4 linked regions of the Coturnix japonica genome follow. The protein of the gene in region 3 binds, or shares a complex with, the protein of the main gene of each other region. Links are inferred from orthologs where the notes say so. Each region holds a gene or a part of one and is shown on either strand. Other genes may lie near its edges.

Region 1 (4,183 bases), about 3.4 Mb from region 3:
TGGAGGAAATTCCCTGCCAAAAGCACCTGCTGCTCCTGCCTCCACTAATTCATTAGAAGCCTTTATGTCTCCTAAAGCACTGAACTTGAGCAGCTTTGCCAAATTAATGAAGAAACTTAAAGACGTTCATCCAGAAGCCAGCAGGTGAGAGTACTTGGATTGCATTTCTGCCCTGATGTATAATGAATACTATAGCCAGGAGAAGCTGAGCGCTAAATAATGGTACAACAAGTGATGTCAGCAGCTGTTTATGTTGCTCCTACAGAGATAAAATCGTGGATGCTCTGCTGGAGGTGAGGAAGAACAATAATGGTGTCCTAAGTGGCTTGTCCATCAGTTCTATTATGGAAAGGGCCTCTGTAATCCTAAGGAAACCAACGGCTGTTTGTACAGGGAAAGGCAGTGGCGATCAGTAAGTATTCCAGCCTACAACATAGATGTGAATTAATCTAGCTGCATAGCCTGACAATGAGAGCTCCCTAGGAACCTGTTCCTGCACAATGAGTATGAATCACTACAACAGCAGATTCTAAAGATGAGGTGCTGCTGCAGAACGTCTGTGAGCAGAGCAGCTTGCTGGCTCTGTGCACTCATCAACCTGGGTGCAATGGGGGTTTCACTGTGCGGGTTTTATCGATGAACGTAGTGGAGTAAATTAACAATGTTCTGGCCAAAGGTGACATCTAGTGGCCAGTTCCTGTGCAGCATTTCACAGAGGAACTCCAGGCTCGATTCTGGTTTAAAACCTGACGATTTTTTCTCTTGTGTGATATTTATTCCTGCTGTAGGTACTGAACAGAATAAGTTTGCTTGTCCCTTTGCATTTTAGCGTAATAACTTTTTGGTACGCAGTTCTCAGGGCTAGGAAACCTCGCTCCTGCATGCAAACTTCTGCCCTCCATAGTAAAAGCAATACAGCCTCTAGTGGTGCTCTGGGATGCTGACAACGCCGCTGTTTTGTTTCGCCTTACACGTGTTCAGGCAAAACTTAATCTGCTTTTCCTTTATCTTCCTTTCTGCGTAGATGATGTAATGAAGAACCGACCACTTCACATGACAGATTTTTGCAGTCCAGCTCGCTCCGGGATTGTTCTGTCCTTCTTGTTTGTTTGATTTCGTGACAACTCGCTTAGCATTGCTGTTTGGTTTGCAGTTCTGTTTGACCGAACATAGCCCCAAGTTCTTTTCAGCTTTTTGTGCAGACAGATATTGAGTAATTCTTCCCAGTTTGGTTGTTCTGTGTAGTTCCCCCTGTTTCTTATGAGGTTTTAAGGCTCCCATTTTAGCACGTTGAGACTTATAGCAGCAGGACTTCTTTCTGCTGAAGCACACAAGCCCCGGCTCCCGGTGCCGCTCTGTGTCAGGCACGGTGATAGCTGCCATGCTAACAAACAGCCGGCACGCTTACGTGCTTTCCAGATAACAGTTCCAAATAGTGGGCAGAAATGTCAAGTATCCTTTTCACGCAAGGCAGGGGAGGGAGAGGCAGCAAGGGCCGGCTTGCAGATCGCACGGCGCTGGCAGTGCGCTTACATAAGCCCCGTGCTGCAGCGGCTGCTCTGAGCAGAGCCTTGCCCAGGAGGGCTGGGTCTAGAAGCTTTTCTTTTGGGTCCTATAGCACTGTGCAGGGGAAAGCCTCTCCCACACAGACCCTCCCCGAGGTCTGCTTTGGGTTGATACGGGAGCACCCAGCCTTTTGTTTGCCCGTGGAGCTGCTCCCGTGGTTTTACATCCTCTTCTGGCGACGGAAGGAGAGGCAGCTGGGTGTGTGCCTGCTGTGGGGCTGAGGGAAGAAGCCAGCACTGATTGTCACTGGCGGGCGTGTGCTGTCATACCACTCATTGCTGTCCATCTCTGTCCCTTGGCTGTACTTTGCTCCTGGCTGCCCGTGCTGCCGAAAGCAGCCTTACCGTGAATAAAGGTTGAGATTCCTTCTGCCCAGAGTTGTGCTGTCGTTTTGCTATTTCCACCCCTCACTATTTGCTCTCCCCTCGCCGTGGTGGCAAACGCATCCCAAGCCCCGGTGCTGCGCTGCCAGGCGCTGCTGCTGCTTTATCCCGAAGCTGCGGGTCCAGCCTCCGCTTTGGTTTCCTCCCTGCCCGCACCCAGCTGAGCGCTTCGCCCTACCGCATCCCTAACAGCACACACCGCCCTCCGTGCTCCCTAGTTGTGCAACGAGATGGGCACGGTGCTTTACGGAGGGAGGCGTTCTGCTGCGACGAGAAAACGGGGATGTCCGTAACGCAGAGCGCTGCCGATTCCCGCAGGTGGAGCTGTGCGAACTCGCTTGATTTCTGTTAACACGAAACAAGCACCAAGGACGGGCACGATCGCGCCGCAGCTCCAGGCGAGGCGGCAGCCGGGCCCCTTGCTGCTGGCCATGGCACTGCTGCCCCGCCGCTTCCTCTGCTTCGTGCTGGGTGAGTTGGGCTGCCCCGGCATCCAGGGGGGAGAGGGGGACCCTGAGAGAGGCTCCTGAACGCGGGCTGTGCGGGCTCTGCCCGCTCCGCGTTGGCTGCGGGGGGAACGGGAAGGAGCGGCCGTTCCCAAGTGCTGAGGAGCGATGGGAGTTGGGCTCTGTGTGTGCTGCCGGCGATGCGGTCCGACACGGTCCTCTGTGCGCGGTGGGATGCACTGAAGAGCGCTCACGTCAGAAGACATCCCCTGCCTTTCGCTTCCAGTGCAGAAATTAACGACAGGGAAACCGCTCTAGGAGGGGTCTCTCCGTTTTTTTTCTCCGTTTTGCCATTTCTTAACCAGGCGAGAGGAGAGGAGCCAGCCAGAAGTGCTCCTTCTGGCCAATGCTTCTGAGCTGGGGATGGATTTGCAGGTGGGAGACCGCCGGTCACTTTGGGAACTCCTGCATCAGCCATCTGCTTTCACAAGGCGTGAGGTCTCCTCGATGTTGGTAGGGTTTCGTGCGCAACAGGTAGAGGATTGGCTTATAACCCGAGTATACTCATTAAAAACCTTACCACTGTGCTTTGGTACTTTGTGTGAGAAGCATATTTAGGATTGCTTAAAAAAGAAGCCGCACAGTGCCATGCAGCTGCTTTTGCGTGACACTGAAGTGCTCCTTGAGGAAACATAGCCTTGTTCTTTCCCCGTTTGCACTTTAGTGCAGGTTTTCTCCTGGTACCCTGCTGAATAATGCATGGGGCTGCACTGGGCTCATCCCAGCGCTGTCATTAACTGCACTGCTCTGTAGCTGCAGCTCGTTCAGGGGGAGTTAGGGCAGGCAAAGTGCACTCTGCTCTGCTAGGTGGGACTGTGAGGTACCACTGCCAGCACACAGCAGCTCCTGCTGCTGTAAGATTTCTGTCTGCAGTCCCTTTCCCTTCTCTAGGGTCACAAATGTAAGCCGGCTTCTGGGACATGACCCCACGGGGAGCTCGAGGCAGTGTCCCTCGTGATGGGATCCCTGCTGCTTTCCCCTTCCAGGGGTGGAATTCCCCCACCTTATTCCTGTGGTCACTCGCATTGTTCCCATCTGTGCAGAGCCCTAAACCCAATCTTTGCTGTTCTTTAACTGGTGAAACATCCAGGTGGAAGGAAGTCATGGCCAGGAGGCTTTCCTGGTTTGGCTGCAGGACTTCTGCTCGTTCTTTTACTGCACCTTCTGCCACGTGGTTTGGGTTCAGGGGCTTTGGAAATAACAGAGCGGGAGCTGGTGGTACTCCAGGCTGCTCTTTTCCAGTTCCAGCACTCACAGCAGGACGTCTGCCTCAGTGTAAGCCACTTAGCTGTGATAGATGGCAGCTAATCCTGGCGCTGAGTTGGGGATGCATTTCTTTCGCTGTGTCCTTTTGCAGGCTTTTATTTTAAAGTATGTCCTGCTCTAGTTGGGTGAAGAAAAAAAAAGAAGAAAGATTAAAAGAAAAAAAGCCTGTTTGTTCCTTCCTGCTCCATGTCTGTGCACAGATGTGGCTACACTGGGGGTGACCGCTGAGACAGTGGAGTGGTGAATGCTGAGGTCGCTGATGCTTCTGATGAAGCAGGTGTGGATTTTCTTTTTCAGAAAGGAAAGATCAAACAAGCTGTGCTAACAGATGTGCCGGCAGAGTATGAGTGCCGAGGCAGACACAGAGAGCTCAGCTCTCAGAGTGCAGGGGCTTTGCTGAGCCCTGGCTGCCGTGCCAGTGCAGCTCCTCGTGCTGAGCTGTGGTCTCATGGTGCAGCGCAA
Region 2 (3,947 bases), on a different chromosome or scaffold from region 3:
CGAGCTGTACGGCCTGCAGAGAAGCACAGCTCACTGGGCTGCCCGCCACCCCCGGCTCGGTGCCCCCGTCCCCCCCTACCTGCTGATGACCTTCCACTCGCACAGCTGGGAACCGCTCACGTTCTGCATCAGCTGCTCGAAGGACTCCCAGCAGCGCTGTGTCAAGTTGGTGTAGATCACCTCTGTGTGGGGGTGGGCACTGAGCGCAGCCATGGGGCGGCCTTGGAGGGGTTTGGGGATGAGGAAAGGGGTCAACACTCACCCAACATCTCAGCCGTAAAGTTGAACACACGCGTCACTGGGGTTGTTCTGGCCGCTGGGGTTGTTCTTGCCTCCTGCCCAAAGCTCTCGGCCGTGGCACCCGCTCGGCAGAACTCATGGACCAGCAGTGCTGCAGGAGGGGGACATGCTGAGCACTGAGGAGGGGGAGCCACGGGTCTGCAGCAGTGATGGGAACGAGGAGGCCCAGGGAGGCGGTGGGGTGATGGGATGGAGGGTGACGGGGTGATGGGATGGAGGGTGACGGGGTGATGGGATGGAGGGTGACGGGGTGATGGGATGGAGGGTGACGGGGTGACTGGGGGCCACCAGCACCGTGGGGCCGTGCTGCACTCAGCGCCTGGCACTGGGGCAGGGAGCACCTATTTCCAATCGGGAAGAGGAAGTGCTGACCGCAGCGCAGCACAGCCACGAGACAGAGCCTCCTGCCGCCCCCCCCCGTCTGTGGAACTCACTGGCATGGGGCACAGCCCCTCAGGCCCCACCAGACCCCAGAATCAGGATCACTCCTGTCTGTTTTCCACCCTCGGTGTGGGCATGGCACACCACCCTGGTAGCTACTCTGCTGTGGCCTGTGCAGGCTGGCCGTGTGCTGTGGGCCGGCACAGCGGCTGTGCACTGGCACAGTTGTGGCAGCAAGGGCAGCCCACGTGCCCCCAGCGCCCAGTCCCCTGGCCCTGGCACGCTCCCTGCCCAGGGCACAGCTGCCATCCAGACCGGGTCCCCTCAGACGCTCCATCGCTGCCCACCAAGGGGAAGGGGCCGCCCACAGTGCCCGGTGGTGCTGGATGGCTGCCGTAGCACTGTGTCCCGCTCACCCAGCACAAGTCCTGCCTTGACCGGGGTGCAGCCGCGTGCTGTGGGGCCGAGCACTTACCGCAGAGCAGCAGGAGCCCTCGGGAGAGGCAGCCAGAGCCCATCTGCGCATACGGTGCCATCCTGCTGGAGCCTGCGGGCTAGCGACCGGGACAAGGATTTCAATGGAAATAACAGGAAGCAACTCCTTTCCTCTGACAGGGGCTGTTTGAACTACAGGAGACGTGTGAAAAATGAGATTACTTAGTGCTGCTCTGAGGCAGCCCTCCCCACAGGACCCCACCGCTGTGCAGCAAGTGTCGGACCCCCGGGCATCGCCCCACACCTCACCCTGGGCAGCAGAGGGGCTCCCGCAGCACGGCCGCTTCACAAGGCCGCTGTTTGTTTACTTGTGTATTTCTCTTTAATCCTGTCTGGGCTGGGTTGTGAAATCCCTCGTCTCCTGCGTGGAGGGCAGGCAGCCCGGCAGCGGGGGGAGTGGACGGTGGAGCAGGACGTCCCCGGAGGGTTCTGCTGGAGGCTCGGGGTCGTTACGGCCCCAGCCCCGTGTTCATGGCGCCGTGTGGCACCTGCCCCGGGGGCACGGGTGGGGCTGGAAGGGACGGCGGCGGTACCACGGGTGTGCGAGCCTCAAGCAGGCAGGAGGAGAGGATGGGGCGAGGGACTGTGGCTGCAGAGCTCCTCTTCATCCCGTGCCACCTCGGCTCCCACCTCAGGGCAGCGCGGTGCTGGCTCTGCAGGGTCCCCACCCGGGGATGGAGCTCAGGCCACGCGAGCTCATCTAACTGCTTGCCAAAGGCTGAGCTCCAGCCCAAAGCTTTCCCTTTAAAATCCACTCATGGGACTCACAGAGCACAAATCACACAGCAGAGAATTGCAGTTCATGGGGACCCTCCCTGCTTTGGAAGGATTCTATTGCTGTGCTGCACATTCCTGCTGCAACACACTGCACGTGCTATGTGCAGGCTGAGGCAGCCGCCACCCTCCTGGCACTTGGGAGCCCTTCAGCGGTACCGGGAGCCCACGAGGCTGCGGCACAAAGTCACAGCCCCATTCTGCACTTTGTTGTCACAGCCCTGGAGCTGCAGCCGGCAGCAGGAGCCTCTGCCAGGGTGACACCCGGTGATCTCAGCCGGCCACTCCTTGCACAGCCGGGGCAGTCTGCCAGCACCCACTGCTCCCCAGCCCCATTTTGCAAGCTCCCCCCAGCCCTTGGCTGCAGTGCTGTGAGGGGGACTCGACTGAGCAGCGGGGGAAGCATTTCCCATGTTCTGGGCTGGGCTGCAGCCGTCCCGAGCCCTGCTGCCAGCCTCGGCCCATGGCACAACGGGCACAGACGCAGCCTGGACCCCGCCTGCTGCTTTGACTCGCTCTGCAGCTGCCCACGTTGCGCTCTGGGGCTCAGCGCAGTGTGGGCAGTGAGGCTGCGGGGGTTGCGCTGGGTCCAACCCAGACCCCAGGTTCTGCCGGTAGTGGGAGCAGGAGCCGCAGCCCCGACGAGCATCTTCCCACCGGCTGCAGCTTCCCCCCGTGCCGGGGCGTATCACCGAGCTCATCTCGGCACCTTCCACCCGCGCTCAACCCAATGTCAGGGAAGGCGGAAGGTTCTGCCCGACTCAGCAGGACGGGCTCAAAGGCAGCAGATACGGCCAGGACCGGGGCTGAGCTGTGGGATGAGCAGCCAACGGCCCCGCTCACTGCCCGGACAGGGACCCGCGGGTTCCCCCCGCTCCTTCCGGCTGGGCGGAGGGGAAGGAAGGAAGGAAGGAAGGAAGGAAGGAAGGAAGGAAGGAAGGGGCCCGGCCGGGAGCGCGGCTGGGGAAGGGAGCGCCCGGCCGCAGCCCCGAGCAGAGCGGGGCCGGGCGGAGCCGAGTGGAGCCGGGCGGGGCCGGGCCGCGAGCGGCCGGTTCCGGTGCGGGGCGCCGCCCTTCCCGGTCGGAGCCGCAGCTCCGGGGCTGCACCGCGCGGGGCGGGGCGGCGGCGAGGGGCGGGGCTACGGCGGCGCATGCGCAGTGCGCGGGGAGCGCGGCCTCCCCCGGCGCGATGGCCGAGGAGTGAGTGCGGGGCGGGGCGGGGCCTGGGGTCCGGCGGGGGGCGGGGGGCGGCCCGGCACGGCGGGAGGGGCCCGGGAGGGAGCGAGGGGTCGGCGGGGGTGGGGGATGGAGCGGGGCGGTAGTGCCGTGGTAGTGCCGTGGTAGTGCCGTGGTAGTGCCGTGCCCTGTGGGGGCTGGCGGCTGCTCGTAGGGGGCAGATCTAAGTCCCCTGAGGCCCCGTGGGGCCCCGTGGGACCGTGGGCTGTTGTATGGGGTGCGCCGGGCCCGATGGACGGGGCAGCGCCCGGGGGTTGGGTGAGGCCTGGGAGCGGGCACCGGGCGGGGCAGCGGCTGAGGCCTGTCCCGGACACTCCGCAGTGTCACCGTCCCGGCAGCCACCGGGGGTCCCCGTGTCCCCTCGTGGCTGGAGGCTGCGGTGATGGGGGCCCAGGGAACCCCCGTGGGTGGAGTGGAGCGGCCCGCTGGGTACGTACAGCCCGGGCCGGGGACTCAGACTCCTGGATGGGAGCTGAAGCGTCCCTTGGGCTCACAGGGCGATGCCCGATGCCCAAACCCCCGGCTCCAACTTCTCCATCAGGTCGCACTGTGTATTCCCAGCCAGGAGCTGTCCTGTGCTGACAGCCTGCGCAATGTCCTTCCCAGCCTCCTGGCAATGAGATATTCTGAGCTGGATGTAACACTGCTCCTGACATGTTGGCCTCCCAGCGCCCTGTGAATCGAAAGATTACAAGCAGGAAGGAGAGCTGCTTGGACAGCGACAAGACAAGGGGGACTGTCCATAAGCTATAGAGGGCAGGC
Region 3 (3,508 bases):
GAGCTTTTCTGTCTTTCTGATGTTTTCTTCCTTCCCCTGCTTCTCTTTTTTACTCTATATAATTGTTGGCAGGAAGGACAGATGATGCAAAGAGGAGATAAATGAACTAGACGCTATTACTCCACCCTCTAGAGTGGGATGCTAGACAGCAGTCTCGCCTCTCATTTCCTTGGGCACGGTCCTTGGATTGGCAGCACTCTCTCGAGGGGGCCTTTAGCTTTATTTTTATAGCGTCTCAAGTGTAGTTTCTGTAGGGGTTTTACAATGGATTAAAATAGAACCCTACCATTGCTGCTTGTCTCATTATTTGCATTCTTAGACTGTTGAGCGTGTATGTATGTATTTATATGCATATACATATGTGAAGACATTGCTTTTCGAATCGAGAATGAGCTCTAATATGCCGACTGACAGTTAGTATGGATAGCTGTGTTTGCAGTTTGGTTTTTTGGTTTTTATTTTTTTGTTTGTTTGTTTTGGTTTGGTTTTGGTTTTGAAACTAAATGAGCAGATATTCACTACTATTCCCCAAGAAGCTCTTAACAGCTACGGTAACTATGTAATAACACCGAACTTGTCAGATTTCTTTTACTTATTATTCTCTATAGATTATTCAAATTCACAGTTTAAAAAAAGAAAAAAGGATAGTCCTTATGAGAAGCCTGTTTAAAATACAGAGATGGGAGAATGTCATTCTTTATCAGGCCAACCTACAAGGTGCAATCTTTTAATAAATAGTTAACACTCAGGTCAGTTTGTTATTTCAGCCATAAAACATGGGACTATTTAAAATTTTATTGCAAAATAAATAAATATTAACGATAGGGATTTGACACAGTTCTCTTACTGCTGTGGAGCTCAGGACAACCTTTCACATTAGTACCCTAGGTCTTCAAAAAAGAGTGATGTTTCCCCCCCCTTTTTACATTGAAATCTTAAGAGAGCATTACTGTGACAGTATTGTTTTTTAAACTGTAAAAGTGAATGGAAGTTTTTGGACAGAAGGGCCAAGGTAAATTCAATTGTTTTTAAAATAAAAGTGCATCCGTAATGGAAATTGATTAGTTTTCCAATGTAAGCTTTTAAGATGAAGTGAGCGATCGCCGAGATGTATATAGACGAGGAAGGGTAGATTTTAAACCATATACGGAAACAGATTTTTGCACTGCTGTAAGGATCTCAACTGCAGAGAGCCGCGCTCGAGTTGCATGTATTACATTCACAATGGATCGCTGAATTATTAGGAGCTAATTTCAATCAGACTGCCGTTACGGATGCTGTGGTGATATCTGTGTGCTTTGCTTACCTTTTCTCAGAAAAGTTAATGCTGATAAAGGTCATTCCAAAGAATGTAATTATAGTTCATACAGGGCTATTAAAATGCACAACCGGATGCAAAATATTAAGCATTTTCAGCTTTGCACCGCATGTCAGATCTTTGTGTATATCGGCCTGCAGCTGTGGCCTTCTATAAGGCGCTTCTTCTGCATCAGTCACGGCTGGCAGTTCATTTCTATTCCTTCTTTTGTACAAAACAGCAACTGCCACTCTGTTTTTCACAAGATGCAGTTTAAATTCCTCGTAAGCATCATTCAGATTTGTACTATTAGTGTACTAGCAGAGAAAACGGATTGTAAACACTGGAAGTAGAACTTCGGTTGACACTCCCTTGAAAGGATAGAAGAAGACGCTCTGGGATTAGATGTCAGAGCCCAGTCAGCCTCATTTTCTTTAGTGTGTTTTCAGAGAGTCTTAACTTTTGGTAATTGTGTGACCAGAATGTTGTGTACGTGCTGCGTGCCTTTTTAGTCTTAGGGCTTTTAGCATTAAAAAGTAGCCTGCGGTTTATTTTCAGAATAGCTTCATTGTCCTTTTCTTTTTCAACAGGTGAATCTTTTCTTCTTGTTAAATATCGTCCGTGTGCTCATAACCAAGCTGAAAGACACCCACAAGGCAGAATCCAACCTATACATGAAAGCGGTGCGAGCCACCCTCATTCTGGTTCCCCTGCTCGGCATCGAATTTGTGCTGTTTCCGTGGCGACCGGAAGGTCGAATCACAGAAGAAGTCTATGACTACGTGGTGCACATCCTTATGCATTACCAGGTAAGAATTAAATATGTTTTGCCCATCTGTCAGCATATCATCATATCATAGTATCATAGTCTCGTGTGGGTTGGAAGGGACCGTAGAGATCATCGAGTCCAACCCCCGGGATTCGAGCCTCTGTGTAGCAGAGCGGCACTTCTACCACTTGTGCCACAGGGGGGATTCGAACCCCGGGCCCCAGTGTTGCAAGGCGGCATTCCTACCATTGCGCCACCGGGGCACAGCATATGTAACAAACAAAGGAAAAAACGATCCATTCATTTTACTTTATAATATAAAGACCTTTATGCAATAGTCCCATCAACAACTTGAGCTTTCTCAGTGTACTGAATTTTTTTTTTTTTTTGTTTAAAGAATAGAAACATACCATGGTCTATTACTAGTTTGTAGAGTGTTCTTATAAACTGGATGCAGATATTAGATTTATAGAACGTTCCGTTTGCTATGTTATCGGAATAGTATTGGGAACCTCTGATTGTTTTTCAGACCTGAAAAAATCCATGCACAAGTGAAATAAAGAAAGTTATCTTTATTTTACAGGGTCTACTGGTAGCAACAATTTTCTGCTTCTTCAACGGAGAGGTAAAGTGATCATTTTTATCGTATTATTTTGTGTTTATGGATCATGTCTATTCTAGCCATAAAGGAGATAGCACACCTGAAAAACATAGAAAGTCAGAGCTTAATAGCTTGTTGCGCCTCGGTCACAATTTCTTGAATAAGAAGCGTACTTTTGAGAAATCACGATTAGTTAGTTCCAATAACTACCTTCTTCATCTTTTTGCCCAAGAATCACACCATGTTTTGTTATTTTATGGAATGGGTCCCTGTTGCAGCTCTTAAGCATTCTCTGTCAACTTGAATAGAATAAGGTCTTGTGAACTGAGCTTCACCCATGAGAGTATACTTAGAGGGCTTTAGCATTTAAGATAGACACAGTAGAAAGCCTAAATATATATGCATACGCACGCAAATTTTCTCGGTGCAATTTTTGCAACTCACAATTGAAAGAAAAACCACAACAAACGGATAATAAATTCCCGACAAAGAAGCAGGACTTAGCCAACACTGTTGGCAGAGGAACAGGTACAGTCCTGTCCTTTTTTCTTTCACATCCGTCTGTTCATTTTTTTTTGCACTTAGTGCAGTTGCATGTTTTAATGGCACCAAACCTTGAGTTTCTTTCATCCCGTTGCGTTCTTCCATCATTTTATCAGACCAGCAATATTTACTTAAGCGTTAACTATTTGGCTAATATTCATTTCCCATAGATCTCGCTTCCTCCCCTTACTCTTTAATCTCCAGTCGTATGAATTGCAATGAACATTCCCTGTGGTTTCCGGATACATTTTGTTCACAAGAAATTCATGAGCGTCAGTCTGTGTCATTATTATTAGTA
Region 4 (3,935 bases), on a different chromosome or scaffold from region 3:
GTTATTGTAGATGCATCACTACTTCTGAGTTGCTTAGATCCTACCCTACAGTTGGTAGATAACTTCTAAGCATCTACACTTCATATGGGAACAGTATCAGTTACGTGCCTATGTGTCAGCTGCCTCAGCTCACAGATTCCTTCATCCCAACAGATGTGCATACAGGTCACAGCAAATCCAACTTCTATAATTTCTGTGCTTCCAGGAAACACACACAACTGCCTTTTTGCCATCTTTGCAAAGAGGGACAGTACAACAGATGGTTCTACGTAATGATAATATTTTAAAAGCCATAAACAGAAAGACAGGCAGAAGGCAGTGGTGTGAGTATGCAGAAGTGAGGTTCCAGTCCCTTACAAGACAAGCTTCCTATAGCATTCAGAGAGCGCTAACACTGAGGACTCCTGTCCCACTCCGCAGGTTTCAAGAGGTAAATCTATTTCACGTGTCGCGTCTCCCATAGTCAGCAGGGGTCACTACCGCAATGGAGCTATCCCAGACTTGGAGGAAAAATATACACGAATTTATTACTGAGAGCTTTCTTAACGATAACTAATACTCAGAGAGGGAAAAAAAAAAAAGAGCATTATAGGTAAGAAAACATTAGGCAACGGCTACTACAAGGAACAAAAGATTGTAAAGATAAAAGATAGAAAATGGGGAAAGTGACACAGATGGACAGATGTACAAACTGCGAAGCAAAGAGGTTCACCACTCTTCAAACCAATGACGTCTTGGTGTCAGATTCTGATCTTTAGTAGTGGTAGTTCACAGGAGGTTGTGTTGTTCAGCTGATAAGTAGGACAACAGTACAACCTCTTACTTATAGTCCAAAGTGGTCGAGCCTGCTCAAGAGAGTGACAGCTTCTGGCTTCAGGATCACAGCAGGAACTCCTTTGCTCCTGTCTTCCATGCTTTGTAAATTTAAATCAGGAGATAAGAGGAAGCAGGGAGACGTCAGCTTGTATCATCTTCACAGGGTACAGTGGTATCATTTCCCAGTCTTCCGTATCAAGCTGGAATCCTTTGCTCACAGGACAAGTTTTCAGCCAACAGACACTCCTGGGCCCTCCCATTCGAAGGAAAACATTCCCAAGAAACACTGTCAAATGTAAAACTATCCACAAAGTGATGTTGATTGACTAGTGTTGACTTGAGATACTCCTTACCAGTCTTGGACAACTCTTCAGCTTACAGAGAGTTTATGGCTCTCTGGTTAATCAAAAGAAGCCATTAGAAAAAAGGGAGAAATACACACACAAGATTTCATGTCTCAAAATTTTCAGGGCTCCCAAATGGCTTTTCTACCAGGAAATGTCTATGATTTAGTCTAGTTTTTGAATATATCTATCCTTCCTAACTTATAGCAACAGTAACACATTATCAGTCATCAGATATCCTTAAAACCATTTAGTTAGTGCTATTAGGCAAGCAACAAGCACAGTCAAAAACTGCCTGGCACAATTGATTTACCTGTTCCTTTCTGGTGAAAAATAACTGCTAGTTTTCAGAACCACAGCAACATTGCTCCTCATTACACGCTCTCCAAAATCTTCTGTAATTTCACATTGCAAGAGTCACAGTAACATCAGGAGGATTTCCCACTCAGAAAAATTACTGGTTGATTCACTAAGCTCAAGGTTGCACAAATTATCATGTGCCAAGGTAGGTGTTAGCCTTTTTTTACTATTATTATTCCTCAACAGCTGGAAAAGGAAAAAAAATCCAAATGATCAAGGTAAGGCTTTAGCAGTCCTCAAGACATGGAGAATTCCAAACTCTATTTATTTGGCATTACATTCTTGTGACAGGGAGATCAAGACAACATTACCTAACACTGTCAGTGTAACAGTCAATATAGTTACTGGTATTTCCAGTGTTTACCAGCTTTACATTTTGGAAAGAGTAAGAAGCTAGCAAACAAAGTTTAAGTAGTACTCAGTCTAAATCTACAAGGCTGATTTTCTTTTCTCCTATCCATGACACATTAGCTGCATCTTGGAGGTTACTGTGGAGTGAAGTTCAGAGCTGTCATCTGACACAAACTTCTGACTGACCACAACATACTGTATCTCAGAGTCCTAAGACAACCTACCTGATGATGAATAATTAAATAAATAAATAAACAAGCCACTCAAGTAGTTCTGGAAATAGAGCTGATCTCTCCTTAAGTGCAAGGTCTGAAAGATATCTGCACTTTTACCACTGCTCGTGAGCAACCCAGCCACTCTAACACAAAATAACCCTTCCTTTACCAGTGAAAATTTTCCCCTCTCACGCACTCGGAACTGCTTCACAGACACCGGACTGGGGCTCCCAGCTAGAACGGCAAGCAGTGCTGCTCAGTTCAGTTTCGGGAGGGATGCACATACCATACCGTACTGCAGCGAACAGATCTCCCTGCGAGATGCTGCTCGGGGGCAGAAGCCGCGCCGTACCCGCAGTGCAGCCGCCCTGCAGCCGCTCAGCCCCGCGCCTGCGAGGGCGGAAAGCCTAGGGACGACAAGCTGCTACCCACTACCCCGCCTCGCCCTGGCCCGGCGTCCCGCTTACCCCAAAGCAGCAGGACGGGAAGGTGCCGCCGGCAACGGACGGACGCCTCCATCCCAGCGCGGATGGGGCCGCGAAGGACGGAGCCCACATGGGGTGATGATCCGTAGCCGCGCAATGCCACGGCCGTCTCACTCCCTCCCACAGGGCAGGCTCTCCTTCACGCCCCGGCGGGCGGCCCCGGGCGGCGGCGAGGCGGGTGAGGGAGCGCGCAGCGTCTCCGCCCTCGGGGTGCTCCCGGGGCGGGGCAGGGCGGGCTGCGAGGATCCGAGCGGGGGATGCGGGTGGGGGTGCGCCAGGAGCGTGCGCTTTCCGTGAGCATGAGTAGCGGGCGGGTGCATTTGTGTGCGGTTATGTACGACACTGCACAGACAGGTGTACAGGAGTGTGCCTGTGTCCATGAATGTGGGTGCATGTGTGTGCATTCATGTGCACAGCCATGCATATGCCTGTGCAAATCCATACGCATGCATCCATGTGAACACATGCATATACACATGAATGAGTGTATGTGTAGGGAGCCTGCTTTGGCAGGGGGGTTGGACTCGGATGATCTCTAGAGGTCCCTTCCAACCCCTACAATTCTGTGATTCTGTGAGTGAATATACATCCATGTGCATGCATGTGCGCACCCATTTGCAAGCATTTGTACATCCATACATACGGGTGTGCAGCTGTATGGTTCATGTGTGCACCTATGCACATACATCAATATGCACGCCCACATGCACATGCAACCATGCCAGCAGGCCCCCCAAAAGCCACAGCAAGCAAGCAACATGATACCACTCCCAAGAAACTGAACTAAAAGGGGTGCTTCACTCTCTCACACCCACAGAAAACATGCATGCTACCAGCATCCAAGAGGGGAGAATGGAACCCTTCACCTGCTCCAGTTGAAGCAGCCCCTACCTCCTGCCTCTGCAACCCAGCAGTGGGTTGAAGGCATGAAGGTCTGGAGAGCTACATGTGCTAGCTCACTTGCAGCACCAACACAGTAACTCACTAATATCCAGAGCTGAACATGTGCAGAAATCTAACTTAATACCCAGAACAGAGCAGCCACAAGTTCCATAAAGATGCTTGATTTATTTTTGTGTTGTTTCATCTCTGTCTGGCCCTGCCCACAGGGAGAATGGTAAGACCCTCATTTTTATAAATACTTAAATGCTGTGAACTTGAGTTCTTTCTCTCTCTGGGAAATAAGGATCTCTGCAAAGAAACATCAGGCTGAGAACCTGCTAAAGAAGCCTTTTCTAAGCTAGAAGTATTTGTACTGCTCTAGAATAAAAAGCCACAATTCACCTCAGTAACTATCTTTCAGTCAAACATTAAATCACAGACATCATTGTAACAGTACACTGTGAAACTAAACTTCAAAAAGA

What was found. The genes of interacting proteins can lie anywhere in the genome.
Region 1: the proteins of CALCRL (region 3) and RAMP1 are in contact, whole or in part, in a cryo-EM structure (PDB 6E3Y), measured with the Homo sapiens proteins. The link is inferred for Coturnix japonica from reciprocal best matches to the Homo sapiens genes CALCRL and RAMP1. Residues at the interface, in NP_001258680.1 of Homo sapiens: Asn39, Met42, Thr43, Gln45, Tyr46, Glu47, Tyr49, Gln50, Lys51, Ile52, Met53, Gln54, Thr68, Trp69, Asp70, Gly71, Arg113, Arg119, Thr120, Phe228, Leu231, Ile235, Thr239, Val243, Ala244, Gln250, Trp254, Tyr255, Leu258, Phe262; in NP_005846.1 of Homo sapiens: Trp59, Ile63, Tyr66, Arg67, Ala70, Phe83, Trp84, Pro85, Asp90, Phe93, Leu94, His97, Gly98, Phe101, Arg102, Cys104, Pro105, Ile106, Ser107, Gly108, Arg109, Ala110, Val111, Arg112, Asp113, Pro114, Ile118, Leu119, Phe122, Ile123.
Region 2: the proteins of CALCRL (region 3) and RAMP2 are in contact, whole or in part, in a crystal structure (PDB 3AQF), measured with the Homo sapiens proteins. The link is inferred for Coturnix japonica from reciprocal best matches to the Homo sapiens genes CALCRL and RAMP2. Residues at the interface, in NP_001258680.1 of Homo sapiens: Arg38, Asn39, Ile41, Met42, Thr43, Gln45, Tyr46, Glu47, Tyr49, Gln50, Lys51, Ile52, Met53, Gln54, Trp69, Asp70, Gly71, Arg119; in NP_005845.2 of Homo sapiens: Trp86, Ile89, Tyr93, Ser94, Arg97, Leu109, Gly110, Pro112, Glu117, Ile120, Phe121, His124, Gln125, Phe128, Ala129, Cys131, Ser132, Leu133, Val134.
Region 4: the proteins of CALCRL (region 3) and RAMP3 are in contact, whole or in part, in a cryo-EM structure (PDB 6UVA), measured with the Homo sapiens proteins. The link is inferred for Coturnix japonica from reciprocal best matches to the Homo sapiens genes CALCRL and RAMP3. Residues at the interface, in NP_001258680.1 of Homo sapiens: Arg38, Asn39, Met42, Thr43, Gln45, Tyr46, Glu47, Tyr49, Gln50, Met53, Trp69, Asp70, Ser117, Arg119, Thr120, Phe228, Leu231, Ile235, His238, Thr239, Val243, Val245, Lys249, Gln250, His251, Trp254, Tyr255, Phe257, Leu258, Phe262; in NP_005847.1 of Homo sapiens: Trp56, Cys57, Leu59, Phe62, Ile63, Tyr66, Glu67, Thr70, Cys82, Tyr83, Pro85, Asn86, Pro87, Leu88, Gln90, Ile93, Thr94, His97, Arg98, Cys104, Thr105, Val106, Asp107, Arg108, His110, Leu111, Glu112, Asp113, Pro114, Val118.

Annotation. Positions count from the first base shown.
Region 1 is NC_029522.1:8,560,580-8,564,762, reverse strand, and holds the start of RAMP1 (receptor activity-modifying protein 1), read left to right. Parts: upstream 1-1,376; 5' UTR 1,377-2,380; coding exon 2,381-2,420; intron 2,421-4,183. Other genes in the region: RNA-binding protein 44-like, read left to right, coding at 1-144, 266-412, 1,025-1,028. UniProt on the Homo sapiens protein: Accessory protein that interacts with and modulates the function of G-protein coupled receptors including calcitonin gene-related peptide type 1 receptor (CALCRL) and calcitonin receptor (CALCR). Required for the transport of CALCRL to the plasma membrane.
Region 2 is NC_029542.1:4,631,955-4,635,901, reverse strand, and holds the start of RAMP2 (receptor activity-modifying protein 2), read right to left. Parts: upstream 2,808-3,947; 5' UTR 1,426-2,807; intron 1,369-1,425; exon of another isoform or gene 1,309-1,368; 5' UTR 1,218-1,308; coding exon 1,157-1,217; intron 392-1,156; coding exon 263-391; intron 183-262; coding exon 80-182; intron 14-79; coding exon 1-13. Other genes in the region: histone-lysine N-methyltransferase EZH1, read left to right, coding at 3,568-3,614. UniProt on the Homo sapiens protein: Accessory protein that interacts with and modulates the function of G-protein coupled receptors including calcitonin gene-related peptide type 1 receptor (CALCRL) and calcitonin receptor (CALCR). Required for the transport of CALCRL to the plasma membrane.
Region 3 is NC_029522.1:5,191,145-5,194,652, forward strand, and holds part of CALCRL (calcitonin gene-related peptide type 1 receptor), read left to right. Parts: intron 1-1,887; coding exon 1,888-2,106; intron 2,107-2,649; coding exon 2,650-2,691; intron 2,692-3,508. UniProt on the Homo sapiens protein: G protein-coupled receptor which specificity is determined by its interaction with receptor-activity-modifying proteins (RAMPs). Together with RAMP1, form the receptor complex for calcitonin-gene-related peptides CALCA/CGRP1 and CALCB/CGRP2.
Region 4 is NC_029517.1:42,832,573-42,836,507, forward strand, and holds the start of RAMP3 (receptor activity-modifying protein 3), read right to left. Parts: upstream 2,808-3,935; 5' UTR 2,606-2,807; coding exon 2,554-2,605; intron 1-2,553. UniProt on the Homo sapiens protein: Accessory protein that interacts with and modulates the function of G-protein coupled receptors including calcitonin gene-related peptide type 1 receptor (CALCRL), calcitonin receptor (CALCR) and G-protein coupled estrogen receptor 1 (GPER1).